Linked DNA regions of Mus musculus. The protein of the gene in region 2 binds, or shares a complex with, the protein of the main gene of each other region. Links are inferred from orthologs where the notes say so. Each region holds a gene or a part of one and is shown on either strand. Other genes may lie near its edges.

What was found. The genes of interacting proteins can lie anywhere in the genome.
Region 1: Lsm4 (region 2) and Lsm3 share a complex: the UniProt entries of both Homo sapiens proteins name them as parts of the precatalytic spliceosome. The link is inferred for Mus musculus from reciprocal best matches to the Homo sapiens genes LSM4 and LSM3.

What each region holds. Positions count from the first base shown.
Region 1 is NC_000072.6:91,515,933-91,523,002, forward strand, and holds Lsm3 (U6 snRNA-associated Sm-like protein LSm3), read left to right. Parts: upstream 1-102; 5' UTR 103-125; coding exon 126-146; intron 147-1,115; coding exon 1,116-1,226; intron 1,227-3,616; coding exon 3,617-3,712; intron 3,713-6,308; coding exon 6,309-6,389; 3' UTR 6,390-6,688; downstream 6,689-7,070. UniProt on the Homo sapiens protein: Plays a role in pre-mRNA splicing as component of the U4/U6-U5 tri-snRNP complex that is involved in spliceosome assembly, and as component of the precatalytic spliceosome (spliceosome B complex).
Region 2 is NC_000074.6:70,669,596-70,678,471, forward strand, and holds the start of Lsm4 (U6 snRNA-associated Sm-like protein LSm4), read left to right. Parts: upstream 1-3,635; 5' UTR 3,636-3,859; coding exon 3,860-3,862; intron 3,863-6,959; coding exon 6,960-7,001; intron 7,002-8,182; coding exon 8,183-8,281; intron 8,282-8,358; coding exon 8,359-8,539; intron 8,540-8,764; coding exon 8,765-8,856; 3' UTR 8,857-8,876. UniProt on the Homo sapiens protein: Plays a role in pre-mRNA splicing as component of the U4/U6-U5 tri-snRNP complex that is involved in spliceosome assembly, and as component of the precatalytic spliceosome (spliceosome B complex).

The DNA of each region.
Region 1 (7,070 bases), on a different chromosome or scaffold from region 2:
GCCCCCATGCAAACTACGAGGGCGCGAAGGGACAAAAATAATATAGTTCGCCTTCAGTGCGTGGCGGCCTAAGGTTTCTGAGTTCCTGTTCCCGCGAGAGGTGGAAAGGGCGCAGCGTTTGAAACATGGCGGACGACGTAGATCAGGTAAGTTTGACCTGAGGCGTTCGAAGAGGAAATGCTTTCGCTTCTCGCTTTTTCCACGCTTCCCGTGGGATGGCCCTTTTCTTTTTTTCCGAGTCACCACGGCCTTCCGTAGCCGGGCCTGCTCCTGAAACCTCCGTAGGCCCAGAGTTTCTCAACCCGCCCGTCTACCCATCGCGCTCGTCGTCGCCCTTTCTCTGTAGAATGAATGCAGGCGGCTGGAGATGCCCATCTCTGGGAGCTAGCTGTCGGGATTCCGACAGAAAGCGGGAGGTCGTAGCAGGACACCAGTTTAGCAATCCGAGTGAACACGGGGGGCACAGGCAGTGGTTCCCTTGGAGTGAATTACGAGGGGAGGTCAGAGGAAAGGTGCAGTTCTAGGAGATGGAGAAACTGCTAGAGATGGAGTATGAAGAAAACAAGCAAAGATCTGGTACACAGGCCAACAGAAGGGCCTACGGGCCTCTGCACCTACCCTTCCCTATTTCTTAGGTAGCTGGTGTACCTTGGCCACCAAAATGTCTTTCACACCCTCACATGCACACACAGCCCCTGCACACACACACACACACACACACACACACACACACACACACGTACGTACGTGCTACCCTACTGTGTTTCTCTCCAGAGCATGTTGTTTTAAATATGTATAGCCCCTGCACACACACACACACACACACACACACACACGTATGTACGTACGTACGTGCTACCCTACTGTGTTTCTCTCCAGAGCATGTTGTTTTAAATATGTATTTATTTAAAGTGTTTCTTCCACAACTAGAGTGTAAGTTCCTTAATGGGGATTTATTGGGGCTGGAGAGGTGGCTTGGCAGATAAGAGCGCTTGCTGATCTTGGAGACAACCCTGGTTGTGTACTAGCACCCACATGCTGCTCTCTCAGCTGACCAGTGATTGAAACACCACCCGGCCTCTGTATCCTATGAGTAAGCCTTTGCCTTTCCTCAGCAACAGACCACCAATACCGTAGAGGAGCCCCTGGATCTGATCAGGCTCAGCCTGGATGAGCGAATTTATGTGAAAATGAGAAATGACCGAGAGCTTCGAGGCAGACTACACGTAAGTCTGTTAAAACATCTCAGAGCCAGAGGCTGCATCCTACCTCCTTACAAATTAGAACTGCAGTGTAAACTTACTTTTTTGAATTTCTTTTGGGAATTGGAAAATCCTTCTATTCACTTTTAAAATATGTTTTCCTTAACCAGAATGGTTTTTTAGAGAGGGGTGGGACTCCGGTGAGACAGAACAAGGCATCTGATCCCCTGGAGCTAGAGTTACAGACTGTTGTGAGCTGCCTGATACGCTCAGGTCCTGTTCAGGAATCCAGTGCTCTTAGCTTGAGCATCTCTCCAACCATAGAGAACACTTTCGTTTCCTTCAGTTTTGTCTTCTGCTTATTTATGAATAAACTTGTTTGTTCTCTTGGGTTTAGACAAGGTCATACTAGAAAACCTGGCTAGCTTCAAACTCCAGCTCCCTCTGCCTCTCTCCTGAGAGCTGGGATTACAGACATGCTCTTCATTCTTGGCATTGTCCTGGATTTTTTAAAGTTATTGGATAGGGTATTTTAGCTTTTGACATATAAAGCTCTGTTTTGTCATGAAAAGAATTAAATAGCAGGCTAGAGATAGTTTGCCTAGCATGCGGCAAAGCCCCTACCCTAGCACTACCCAAAAAAAAAAAAACAAAAACAAAAACAACTTCATAGAAATGGGTAAAATTAAAGGCGAAGTTCCATTTTTCTCTATGTCTGACCACTGTTCAAAGTTGGCTGCATAGTCGTCTGCATGTGTATATGCCACCTGTGTCTGAAGGGGAGCCTAGTGAGGAACGGAGGCATGTGCCATGGTTCCAGTACTTAGAGGACCAAGGCAGGACGATCATATATTTGAGGCCAGTCTGGCCTACATAGTGAAACCTTGTCTCATATGTACACACTTTTTTCACATGTTTTTTGTGTGGAATAATTACACAGCTGACACAACGCCACAGGATACAGGATTCTGTGTCAGACTTCAGTCTCCCCCCCCCCCCCCAGCTATAAAGCTGCAATGGGTACTTTCACAGATATTGCTTGTGCACATTTATATGTCTGAGGAATTGGTCCCATCATTGTGTACTTAAGGTTTTGTCTCCTCTTGTTACTTCCCTCAGGGCTGTTTGTTTACAACAGGAATTGAAATAAGTCTTTTAGTTCAGGCTTAGAAATTAGAAACAACCCTCTACTGACAGTGACAGAGCCACTGTAGGGGACCAGGCCATCCCACTTCAGTCTCAGTCTTAGAAATTCATGTTCTTTCATGAAACCCAAGGATAAAGAATTGATCTACAAGCTGGCCTTGTGGGAACAGCAGTGTCAGTTTGGTGAGAAATGTGGGATGATGCTAAATTGCATGGCACTCTGGTGCACGGAATGATCCCCAGGCCAGACTGTGGCCTCTAACTTGGAGTTGTCTGCAGCTCTTACCTCTGCAGTAACGGCCCAGCTTTCTGTTTCCTCCCTGCTCTCCAGATGAGTTGCTCATTTGTGTAGCTGCCAAGCAGTTCCTTCCCAGTGTGGCTGTTAGGCTATTTTTAATCTTGATATGAGCAGGCAAAAGCGCTTAGCACTTTGTTAGAAGAACATGCAGTGGGTTCTGAACAAGCCCCAGGAGGTTTGCTGTTTAGTAAAAGGAATGAACTTTGGAGATTGCACTGAACACTGCGGTTGAAATCCTTCCTGATTGAGCCCACAGATGCCAAAGCACGTTAAATTCTGGATAAGTTATAAATGGGCAAAGTGGAGGTGGGACAGATGGTTGGTGGGTAAAGTGTAAGGACTAGAGTTTAGCTCCCCAGCACCTGTGGAAACACCAAAGCAAGCTGGCTAGCTAGACAGTCAGCAAGCTCTTATGTTCGACCGAGAGGCACCATCTTAACACATTATGTGGGGAGCAACTGAGGAAGGCATTCAGCTTCAACCTCTGGCATCCACACACATGTAAACATGTAGTACACATGTACACCACACACATACCCATGTCCACAAAAATGGGTCAAATTTTGCTGCACCTGTTTTGTTGTGAGCATCGAATGACAGTGTCCTTGCTTGAGAACCATGGTCCTATCACACAGCAAGTGACAGGACTTTATGCTGCTTAGTATCTCAAAAGAAGTCTGACAGAATTTGCTGTTTTTTCATAATAAACTATTGTGACTGGTGGGACCGCCTTGGGTAACAAGTGAAGGCGATGCTTAAGTGTTCTTGGGTTGCATTGAGTGGACTCACTTTTTATCATAAGCAGTATTGTCACTGGGAATGGCTTGTAAAGACATGATAGGCTAGCACAGAGGGTGTTTGTTATTTGCATGTAAAATTTTGGGTGTAAGTATTGAACCTGTTACTTAAAATCCACTTGTATCTTTTGAGCCATGTTACTTGTTTCTCATATCTCACCCTCCCACTTCAGGCTTATGATCAACATTTAAATATGATCCTGGGAGATGTAGAAGAAACTGTGACAACGATAGAGATTGATGAGGAGACATATGAAGAGATATATAAAGTGAGTCCTGCAAGTCTTTGCTTTGACAATGTCAGTTCTCAACATGCAACAGCTTAACACATATTTGTGGAAAGCCCATTATGTTCTGGCACCTACTTAGGAACGGTTAATAGATTGTATAACTAAAATGCAAGTGTTTTTGGAGTCACACAACCTGTTTTTAACACTGATCTTAAAGACAGCTGTATCACTAAAGCCTGCCCCAACATGGGTGACAGCTCACAAAGCTGGAACCTGGCACACACTGCACAGCCTAGAGGCAGCTCAAGAGTTTGACAGTGCCCTTTCCTGTCAGCTGAATTGGTCTGAGCCTTTGCCTCATGAGTGCTGGGATTAAAAGCTTGTGCCACCACACCAAGCCCACAAATGCAATAGTTTCTTTTCTTTTTAAATTTAAAATTTATGTGTCTGGATGTCTGTGTATGTCTGTGTACCATGTGCATGCCTGGTGTCCAAGGAGGCCAGAGGAGGTCATCAGATTCCTTGCAATTAGAGTTATAAACAGTCACGAGCCACCCTGTGAATGCTGGGAATTGAACCTGGGTTCTCAGGAAGAGTGGCCGATGCTCTTAACTGCTGAGCATCTCTTCATGGTCTCTACGAATGTGTCATGTGCCTTGACTACACACAGAGGCAGGACAGACTGGTGCTGTAGGTAGTATCTACAGTCCTTATCATGCAGCACTGTGGAGAACACGACATTGCTGCCTTATATCGCTCGTTACCTTTGAGATGGGAAACCAGACAGCAGCTTCCCCTTGGCCCGTTGTATGTTTTGCCCTCTCTCAGCTGACATAACTAATGAACAGGAACATTTCCAAAATAGGAAGGGGCCTACAGACCACTAGGATTCCCAGAGTTTTCCCCTCACGGTGTTTATGATTAACTCCTGAGTGACTGGATTGAGACCAACTAGCTAATAGGAAGACAGAAAGTGGTTGGCCCTGTTCTTTTGGTTCTCGGTCCACCACAGTTAGAGTATTGCTCTTGTTGATTGCTAAAGTGTTTTGGCTCTAGCCCACTTTTCCTGCTGTCCATCATGTTCATCCCCTTCCTTCACCATATAGCCCACAGTGTGGTTAACTGACAGGTTGCTCTTGGTGATGGCCTCTTTGTAGCAGAACCATCTTGACCTCATCCTAAAGCACCAGTCCTCACATAATTACAGACCTTTTGGAAACCAAGGAGACAGCGTCTCTCTCAGACCACCCTGATTAACCCTACCCTTCAGCAGCTGCATGGTCTTTGCCTGAGGACAGAGTGGTTTTAACTGAAAAGCTTATTCATCACAGCTTCTTTTGTACTTACATAGTTGGGCTTAAAAGCATCTGGCTTTGTTTCTTTTTGTCTTCCTGATAACTAGCCAGTTCTTGCCTGATCTCATTTTTGTACTGCCCTGTTGAATGTATCTGTCACACCAGAGCACTTACAAACATCTGGCTTTTTCCAGCCTTCGTCTCCACAGTCTATAGGCTCAGGAGGTTTTTGGCTCCAGGTTCTGCTAACATTTTACCAAGGCTTAGTGATGACTCCAGATGCACCATGTTTGCTGACTGCCCAAAGCCTGACCACTGAGCTAAAGCCTTGGAAATTGTGTTCCCCATTCGCACCCCCAGGAGTACAGAGAAGCAGGTGTGATGACTGGGCTCACTGGAGGCTGAGGCCTGGCCTACAGTCAGCATAGTGCTAAGTTGGGGACATTAAACTTCTACCCTCCTGTTCCTTGAGATCTCAGTGTACAGGGTCCATCCATTGGTAAACAGTGACTACCCATTGACACTCAAAGGAAGTCACTCTTGAAATCCATGGCTAAAATTCCGCCATAGCTGAGGATGTAACTCAGTAGTAACGCATTCGCTCAGAATGTGAAAGAATTCAATCCCCAGCACCCTCTCCCCCAGTCAGTTCAAAACCAGGCATAGTGGCAAACTCCTGCAGTCCCAGCACCTAGGCTGGAGAGGCGGCTCGGAGGCCAAGAGCACTTGCTGCTGCTTTTCTCCTTTTAATATGTGTTTTGGGACAGTCTTTACTTATAACACAGGCAGTTTTGAAATGTGCCATGTAGCTGAGTTGTACTTGAATTCATGGAGACCTGCCTGCCTTAGCCTTCTCCGTGCTAGCATTACAGTCATGAGCCATAATGTCTGACTTGTTTTTATTTTACATTTATCTAATTTTTATATGTATGTGTGCATCTGAGTTCATGTGTATCATGTACATACAAGAACCCAAGTGCCAGAAAAGTCACACACACACACACACACACACACACACACACACACACACACACACACAGTGAAAATAAATCTTAATAATAATCCAGCACTTGTGGTTGAGGTGTGAGAGGTATAGGAATTAGGAATTTCAGACTAACATGGGCTACACAGCAAGACGGACCCCATCTCAAAAAAATAACACAAAACCATCTACCTTGTGTCCGGGTCTGGTCACAAAGAAGCCTGGAAAGTGCACTCTAGCAGTGCACAGCGAGAGAAGAGTGGGTCTCGGTGCGCAGTGGTCCCTGCTGCGGTCACCCAGGAAACAGGCACTCAGACTGCTTACCCTGATCCTGCCTTTCCCTTTTGTTCTCCTCCAGTCCACAAAACGAAACATCCCTATGCTCTTCGTCCGGGGAGATGGCGTCGTTCTAGTCGCCCCTCCATTGAGAGTTGGCTGAGACAAAAGATGGATCCTGTGTAGGAAAGTGGAGACTTTGCCTCTTGAGATGTACAGGACACTCCCAGAGAGAGACGCTCACACGAATCCTGATAGTCAGAAATGACCCCAGGATCACTCTACCCTCGAAGAAGTTCATTTGCAAGCAACTCACAAGCTCTCCAGCTAAATGACCTGTCCCTTTCTCCAGCCCTCCAGTCAGTGTGACCGTCTTGCTCTTTTCAGGAGTTGGTTTGCCCATTGTTCTTGCAGTTACTTTCAGGTTGTTTTTCTTTAAATTAAATTTGATGTTTCCTTTTTTATTACTTTTTTTTTTAATGTGTCTTGTGGATTCTCAAGTTTTTACCTGGTGTGTTCAGTGTGTCTCCCATGTCTAGGGCATCGTGTTGGGTGTGAGGAAGGAGAGTGGCCAGTCTGCCCTGCCCTTATCTGAGGGAGTGCTGTTCTAGCAATTCTGGGGTGGGAGGCCATTGCAAATATCCTTACCTGTCTTAGGGGCCCCAAAAGCTCAGGTAGCACCCAGTAAGAACTAGACAAGGGAGGCACGTGACCCCAGCTGTCAACCTACTGGGTAAATGCAAAACATGACTTGTGTGACTCTGAAGAAACTGTCTTCCAGTCCTGGCTCATAGGCCGCCAGTGACAAGGACATGGGGAGTCTGAGCAGGAAGCAGTGAAAGCA
Region 2 (8,876 bases):
TTTTAAAGTGTACAGTATGTGTGTGTCTCTCTCTCTCTCTCACTTTTTGGTATAGTTAAAACACTACTGAATGTGTCTTTAGATAGCCCTGTCCTGGTGGTATTTTCAATAGCCACTAACCTTGCCTGGTACAGTCTGGGGGTTGTAAATTGGCATGGAAATTTTAAGCAGGTTCTTGGTACACAGCACAAATTTGTTATATATGGGGACAGTAGTTTATTTTTTGTTTTGTTTTCTTTTGTTTGTTTGTTTGTTTTGTTTTGGGGGGGTTGGTTTTTTGAGACAGGGTTTCTCTGTATAGCCCTGGCTGTCCTGGAACTCACTTTGTAGACCAGGCTGGCCTCGAACTCAGAAATCCACCTGCCTCTGCCTCCCAAGTGCTGGGATTAAAGGCATGTACCACCACGCCTGGCTTGGTTTTATCTTATTTTATTTATTTATTTATTTATTTTCGGGACAGGGTTTCTTTGTATAGCCCTGGCCTCCCGAGTGCTGGGATTAAAGGCGTGCGCCACCATGCCCGGCCTTTGGTTTTATTTTTGTTTTGTTTTTTCATCTTCAGATGTCTCTGATGCAGCTTATATGAAGTAATTGTTGTTCTGTTAACTGAAGACCACTCTAATTGCAAAAAAGAAAAATGCGGCTTTTTTGTTGACATTCTGAATGCTTCTAAGTAAATGCAATTTTTTAATTAAAAAAAAAATGCGTATGTAAAAAGTAAGGCACAGCCATCCATGAGTTGGCACTGAGGAGTCAGAGACGTTGAGGTGCCGGGAGCTCACTGGCCAGCCAGCCTAGCCAGAAAGGAAAGCTTCAGTTTAGGTAAGAGATGCTTCCTCAGCAAGCAAGGTGGAGAGGGATGGAGGAGCTGCTGTCGCATCTGGCCTCTGAAGGCCACAGGAGGCCACATGTACCCTCCCTCATACCTACATACAAGATACACAGTACTGCTGCAAAAGAGAACGTTAAAGAGTTAAAGAAGATAGAACTTCTTTTAACTCTGATACTTGTATGTCAGTTTTCTTATTTGTGTGAGTATGTGGGGTGCTGGGCTCCACTATGTTGGTAGCAGGGATCAAACACATGTCACCAGGCTTCCAGCAAGCTCCTCTGCCTGCTGAGCCATCTTGCAGGCTCAGCTGTTTGTTTTTCAAGACAAGAGTTTCTCTGTGTAGCTCTGGTTGTCCTGGAACTCACTCTGTAGACCAGGCTGGCCTCAAACTCATAGAGATCGGCCTGCCTCTGCCTCCAAAGTGCTGGGATTAAAGGTGTGAGCCACCACGCCCTGTGCCCAGTTGTTCTTTATCCACAGAGTTTGGAACCTGTCCCTATCTTTTTGGAAGAACAGACACACAAGTGCACCTTCCCAGTGTGCAGCAGCCGCCCAGGCCACACTTGGAAGCTCAGCACTGGTGCTGTATCACTTGCTGGGAGCTGTAGGCACACAGAATAGAGGTATGCAGCCTGTTTATTGAGGCTGCTGCTGCTGTGGGCCTCTCCCCTGGCCATCGTGTACACAGGCCCATTTGGCCAGTCAGAAAAGGCTCCTCTGATGGTGGCTGGAGTGCAGGAAGCCAGGTCGGAGGGATGTTTCTCCACTGTGGCAATGGCTTTATTTAATGTAGGGAGCTTTGACCCTTCACCTAGGTGACTTAAGTGACTTGTCACTGAGCAGTAGCACCTCAGGTTTCAAGGCTCCCGCCCCCGCCCCCACTCTGTGTGCAGAAGCATGGGCTAGCCAAGCCTCCCTTGAGGGCTGACGGCAACTTTGCTGGAACTCACCCAGTCTTGCTGCAGGGGTCCAAGTTCCCCGTCATGGGCTGCTTCTTCCCTAGGTATCTCAGATCCTCACATCACAAACCCTTTGGTCCCCATCTCAGAGCTGGATTCTGGGGTGACAGATACTCTCTAATCTTAGACATGAGGTCAGCAGACCCATTGACATATTTCTCTTTTCCTTATTAGTGACAGAGTAAAGTAGACCCGGCTGTTGTTGAACTGTCCATGAAGTGGAGGATGGTCTTGAACCTGTGCTTCTCCAGCAGTGCCTCCACAGTGCTGAGATAGTGCCCATTCTGCTCAGGCGCTGCTCCTCAGCACTTACTGCTTTACTTTATTGTTAGCGGTGGGGGTGGGGGCGGGAGCTCAGGGCTTCTATCCCTCCCGCTGAGCTGCAGTCTTAGTGCGGGAGTCTCACTCCATCACTTAGAAGAGCCCTGGGGAGTGTGCCAAGGGAGTCTCCCGGGTCAGAGGATCCCAACAAGTGAACTCATCGCTAACATTCTGTACCAGGGCCTTTCAGCAGCTTGGTCAAACAGCTGTCCTGCTTGGGACAGCTCAGGGTGGAGCTCTGATTCCATAACCAGTAGCCAAAGAAAATAAAAATAAATAGAAGGGCTAGGAGATGGCTCCATGGGTAAAAATGCTTCCTGATGAGAAGGCTAGGCTGACTTCATGACAAGCTTCAAACTGGCAGTTAAGGAGAGGTGGCCTAAATCTGTTTCCAAGAACTGGCCAATTCCAGACAAGTCCAGGCCTCAGAAGCTGCCCCACCACCTGGCCTGAGGCAAGGACAATGGGTAAGCAACAGTTTCCAGACCTCCCCAGTAAGTTTCCAGCCCCCGCAGCCCTGCCATGGAACGTCCATAGAGATGGACCTCACAGATTAACATAGAGGTCACCTGCCCCGGAATTTCCTAATGTGCTTTAAATCAAACCTCCAAGTTAACATGGGTGTCTATTTTGGTAATTCGAGACTCCAGCATGCTCAACTTCTGCATAATAAGACACTCTTTGAGTTTTCATACTATTTGAGTCCGGAATATCATTCTTTGGCACCCCTACTGGGCAAGCATGAGAACCTGAATTTGTAGCTCAAGAAGACACATTAAACCATGGTGGTGCACACCTGCAATCCCAGCACTCACTAGGATCTCTGGAAGGTCGATACCAGCCTGGTCTACATTGTGTGTTCAAGGCCAGCTAGGGATGTACAGAGAAACACTATGTTCCTCCCAAAATGATAATGATTTTTTTTAAAGCAAGGATTAAAGCTTGATGGCCCACAGTGGCCATCCAGCAGTGGAGAAGCCGAGTCGGGGTCTAATGCAAGTTCATGATCGGCTAGCTTCAGCTGCCACAGAAGCCCATCTCAAAACAGGAAAATCCCAGAGATTTGTTTTCACTTCCTGTCGCCAGGGAACGCCAGACCTGCCGTTCGTGTTCAAAGATTCTATTTGAGTTGGTAAAGACAAAGAGATCCATAAGGGCAAGAATGGAAGGCTAGAGCTGGGCAGTGGTGGCGCACGCCTTTAATCCCAGCACTTGGTGGGCAGAGGCAGGCGGATTTCTGAGTTCGAGGCCAGCCTGGTCTAGAGTGAGTTCCAGGAACAGCCAGAGCTACACAGAGAAGCAATGTCTCGAAAACAAAACAAAACAAAACAAAGAATGAAAGGCTAGGAGCGCAAAATAGGCACCGCGCGACTCGCATGCATTAGCCAGCTTCGCCCACAGTGTGGCGCCGAATTAGGCGCCGAACCAGATCCAGGAGAGCACCTCTGCGCAGGCGCCCTTTCCCAACATACACCCCGTAGTGGGCGTAACTTGTGCTGCGGCCTTTTGCGTCGTTCTAGTGTCGCACTTTACGGCTACCTCTCAATCCCACCGTAGAAATACGGTGAGGCCGTCCGTCTTGTTCCGTAGGTACCGCCCTAGCCCGTCCCGATTGGATAGATGTCCGTTGAGCTGCTCGCTGATTGGTCATAGTTTCTGCCAGTCTTTTTCAGTCTGGGGCGCGCGGTGGGCCGCCGGTGGGAGCGCGTGTGTCTGTGCCGCGGCGGAAGTTATCGCTGCAGGGAAGATGGTGAGGGCCGCGAGGCGGAGGGGCGCGCGCAGGGTCTTCGGGCTGCTGAGAGATGGGGGAAACTGAGGCCGGAGTGACCGGTGTCCCTCCAGGGCCCCAGACGGTCACCGTTGGGGATTTATCTCTTGATGGACACGGTTTTTGCGACCGGAAGAGGGACTATGATCGTTTCCGGGGCTTGTCACCGTCATTGATAGGAAAGCTGCGTTTCCGGGAAATGGGCGGGCTTAATGGCTCACGTGGGCTTCGTTGCCCTCTTGATGCTTATCTGGTGTCTGACCTCAGCTGCCCACGCCTTTGGCTGGAAATCCAGCTCAGAGAGCGGGTTGATTCTCTCCCTGGGACACACAGCATGTCTTGCTCAGGAAGAAAGGATTTTTTTTTTCTCCTAGTTTAGGCTCAGGCCTCCTCAGTTTGGGGACTCTTAGACCTGGCATAAACAAGTAAAGGAGGCCAGGTTTCCCCCTGCTCTGTCGAGGGGCGCGTTGGCCTAAGTGAGGAGAGCCACATATTCCCATCTCCCCAGTTCTTGATGGTAGGATATTTGGTTTGTTTTTTGGTTAGGCTTTCTGATCTGAACTGACATAATCCAGGCTAACCTCAAACTCCTGATCCTCTTGCTTCAGTCACTGGAGTATGGAAAGGACACGTGTATACTCCACATTTGAGTCAGGATGTGAGGCAGGGTCTCATATAGCCCAGGCTGCCTTTGAACTCCATTTGTATACATGCATCACTGTGAACTCCTGACCCTGCCTTTACTCCAGAATGACCCTGGGTTTTGTGGTGCAGGAACTCTAGGCCTAACACATGCTAGGTAAGCACTCCCCACTGGGTGTACCCTGAGCCTTCCTGAAGGGATGGCCAGGTGCGTCCAGGACTGGACACCCACCTCATGCAGGTGCGCACAGACACTCCCATATCTCTGCGGTCAGGCTGGTACAGGAGTGTCCCAGCTGAACATTCCTGAACTCAGAGCCCTAGACTTGGTTCTTTAGCTATCTCATCTACACACTGGATCCCAGAGAGTCTGGATGATGGCTGAGAAGGAATTTCCCTTCCTGGAACTGGCTCCTCTAATGGGAGGTGCTGGGACTGGATTCCAGAACGGGTGGCTATAACACCTGCAGCTGCTCTGTGTAAAGCTATGTCTCCTCCACTCAAAAGCCTGTGACTATCCCAGCTCCAGCCTCCCTGTCTGCCCTGGCCCATTTCACTCTGAGCTTTTTCTTCCTTCATTTTGGGGAGACATTCCTAATTACTTCTTTCATTCCTCTCTCCCACTGCACACACAGTAGGGGAGTGGGGGGTTGTGGTGGCCTGTCCCTACACCACACTTTTCTTACCTGTGGCACTGGACAGGATGCACCTGTGCTGGGTGTCCCCACCCCTGCGTGTTCAGCAAGTGTTTACTGCTCCTCCCTGCTGCAGCAGAGCCCACGCCCACACTGACCTTGTGTCTAGCCAGGGAGACTGATGCTAATCACCCATAATTAGAGAGCGGCTTCAGCTGCTGAGCTGGAAACAGGCTGGCAGCCTAGGGTGGCCATTAGGGTCCTGACCACAGGAGGGGACATGCTCAGCAGGATTGGGCAGAGAGTCTAGGGAAGGGCACCCTGGGTGGTGGCTGGGGCCCTGGCAGGAGGAACGAAAGTTGAGCAGTAAGGCTGGACCTTGCCATCGCTGCCTCCAGGCTGTGCTGGGCCATAGCAGTTCCGGAAGAGCTTTGTGTGCCTCTATTCTTGTTTAGCAATGTTTGCCCTTGAGCCCTTGCTGTGCCTTGTATTTGGGAGTTTGACTATTCTATTCCTTTATTGAAACAGGATCTCATGTAGCCCAGGTTAGCCTCACACTGTAGCCAAGGATAACCATGGCTCCAACTACCTGGAGCTTAGCCATAGGATGCTATACTGTGGCTCTTTTCTGCTGTTTATTTGAGGATCAGGGTGGACACCATTGTCACTGATCACCAAGGCCACCCACCCACCCACCAGCCATTTTCACAAAAGTCATCCTCTGCCTCCTACCCTTCCAGGAAGCCTCTGCAGGAAGTGGGCTAGAGCTTCACTTCCCTGCCACTAACTCCTCCCCGCCCCTCAGCTCTTCTTGGGAAGGGCCTTGTACTGTAGGCTCCCCCAGTCCTCTCATGACCCAAAGTCCCCATGCTGGGCATGATGGCCCTGAGGATCTGGGGCTCTTGTTGTTTGTTTCTTCTGTTTTTAAAATGATTTATTTTTATTTCATGTGTTTTGCCTGCATGCATGTGTCTGTGAGTGTGTTGGATCCCCCTGGAACAGGAGTTATAGATGTGTGAGCTACCATGTGGGTGCTGGGAATTGAACCCAGGTCATCCAGAAGAGCAGCCTGTGCTCTCACCTGCTGAGCCATGTCTCCAGCCCCTCGTGTAGTTGTTTGTTTGTTTCACTGTGTAACCCAGTTGGCCTGGAACTTATAGATAATTCACCTGCCTCTGCCTCTCAGTGCAGGGATTGAATGTGTGCACTGCATGCTTGGCTGTAATTTGATTTTTGTGTATTTTGAAGACAGGTCTAATGTAGTCCAGGCTGATCTCAGACTGTAGCTGAAAATAATCTAAAATTCCTTATCCCCCTGCCTCAGCCTCCCTGGCACTGGGATGACGGGTGTAGCACAACACACCTGGCTTTATGTTGGTCTTTATGATGCTGGCTCTGGAAGGCAAAGTGTCACTAGCCTTGCTGTCACCTTGACCTCAGCCCTGGGGCTCAGGCAACCCAAGTCACCTGTTCTGGAAGCACATGGACGGGATGTGAAGCAGGCTGGTGTGCAGTCCTGTGCATTTAGAAGGCTGTGGCCAGCCTGGGCTTATGACAAGATTCTGCCTCAGAAAAGCTACCTCCAGACAGAGGACTGTGCCCCGCTTCTGTGGTTCCAGGTGACAGAAATTGTGGAGAAATGACCAAAATGGTCCGGGAGGTCCAGGTGGCTCACATCTGTAGAATGGGATGATGTGAGGTTACCTGTGACCTGAAGACAGGCGAGTGCATTGGGGGTAGCCATGCCCATGTGGTCGTCCCTGAATTGAGGACTACACCTCACACTGACTTTTGCCTTCCAGCTTCCCTTGTCGCTGCTGAAGACAGCGCAGAATCACCCCATGGTAAGCACTCTGGGCCACCTCCCTTCATGTGCCCACAGCTCAGTCTTTTGCAGTTCATGATTGAAGGCCTGGCAAGATGTCTCAGTGGGTAAAGGTGCTTGCTGCCAAGCCGAAGGACCTGAGTTCAATCCCCAGGACCCATGTGATGATGGAGGGGTTCATGACTTCCCTGAAGTTGTTCTCTGCCCTGTCTGCACACAGACAGAATGGCAAATGCAATACAAAGGAAAACGTTCACAAAGAAATCTATAGCCGGGCATGGTGGTGCACGCCTTTAATCCCCGCACTTGGGAGGCAGAGGCAGGCGAATTTCTGAGTTCGAGGCCAGCCTGGTCTACAAAGTGAGTGCCAGGACAGCCAGGGCTACACAGAGAAACCCTGTCTCAAAAAAAAAAAAACCAAAAAAAAAAAAAATCTTTTAAAAGTAATGTCAAGAAGAAGCTGGGCACTGTGCAACTCATGCCCCTGATTCTGCCCTGAGAGTCACAGCATAGACCAGGTCCCCTGTCATCGCAGCTGCCTGGGAGGATGCAGCAGGAGGATTGCCACTGGTTGAAGCTTTTTTTTTTTTTTTTTGAAAAGGAGCAGCAGTGTGGCCGAATAGCCAAGGCATGGCCCAGCAAGCTGCAGGCCTGGGTTCCATCCGAGGTGCCACAGAAGGAGCCATGCCTCTGTGGTGTGTAGTGTGTTTATAGACTCCACACAGCCAGAGCCCAGCCTCTTCTCATTTCCCCTCAGCACCCACCTCGGGTCTACCCCAGCCCTGGTTGCCTGTGCACTGCTCCCACCTGACGTCTGCTCCTTTGCATTTTGTGAGCATTTCTGAGTGTGGCTTGTCTGTCACTCAGTGGTTTTGAGTCATTTTCTTGGCTGTGTTAACACTCCTTCTGTAGGTGACTAGACTGGGCTTGCCCATTGTTTCCTCACTATCCTCCTGCCTCAGCCGCCAGAGTTCTGGAATCACAGGTGTGTGCCACCATGCCCAGCTAGTGTGGAGTTTTAATTTGTCTTTGTCCATACATTGGGTGGGGAACCTGGGCGGTGCCTGCTTATCACAGCACCCACTTATGAGCTGAGCGGCAGCCAGCCCTTAGAGGTTGATCCCAAAGCACACCCAGAAAGCTGTAGTTTGGGATGGGAAGCCAGCTGTGTTTGAGCTAGGCTGATGGGCTCTCCCACAGCTGGTGGAGCTGAAGAATGGGGAGACCTACAACGGGCATCTGGTGAGCTGTGACAACTGGATGAACATCAACCTCCGGGAGGTGATCTGCACGTCGCGGGTGAGTGGTCATGCGGGGAGGGTGCACTGCTGGCCTGGATGGACTATGCCCACCTGTCACACTTCCCCTCTCCACAGGATGGTGACAAGTTCTGGAGGATGCCTGAGTGCTACATCCGTGGCAGCACCATCAAGTACCTGCGCATCCCTGATGAGATCATTGACATGGTGCGGGAGGAGGCCGCCAAGGGCCGAGGGCGAGGAGGACCGCAGCAGCAGAAGCAGCAGAAAGGCCGAGGCATGGGCGGCGCTGGCCGAGGTGGGGTCCCTGTGAGGATGAGGTGGGGGAGGGACACCTGGGCACTCGCCTCTCTGCACCCTCTTCAATCACATGTAGGGCATGGTGGTGTGGGCTCCTGTAGGCTGAGTACAACCTGGAATCTCCCACAGGACCCTTGCGCAGTGGACCAGGGCACAGAGGGGAAGACCCTTGTCCCTGTCTAGGGACGCTGGTGTCTAACTCTGCCTTTTCTGTTCTGTGCAGGTGTGTTTGGTGGCCGGGGCCGGGGTGGCATCCCAGGTGCAGGCCGAGGCCAGCCCGAGAAGAAGCCAGGGCGGCAGGCAGGCAAACAGTGATCACTCCCTGCCTGAGCCGA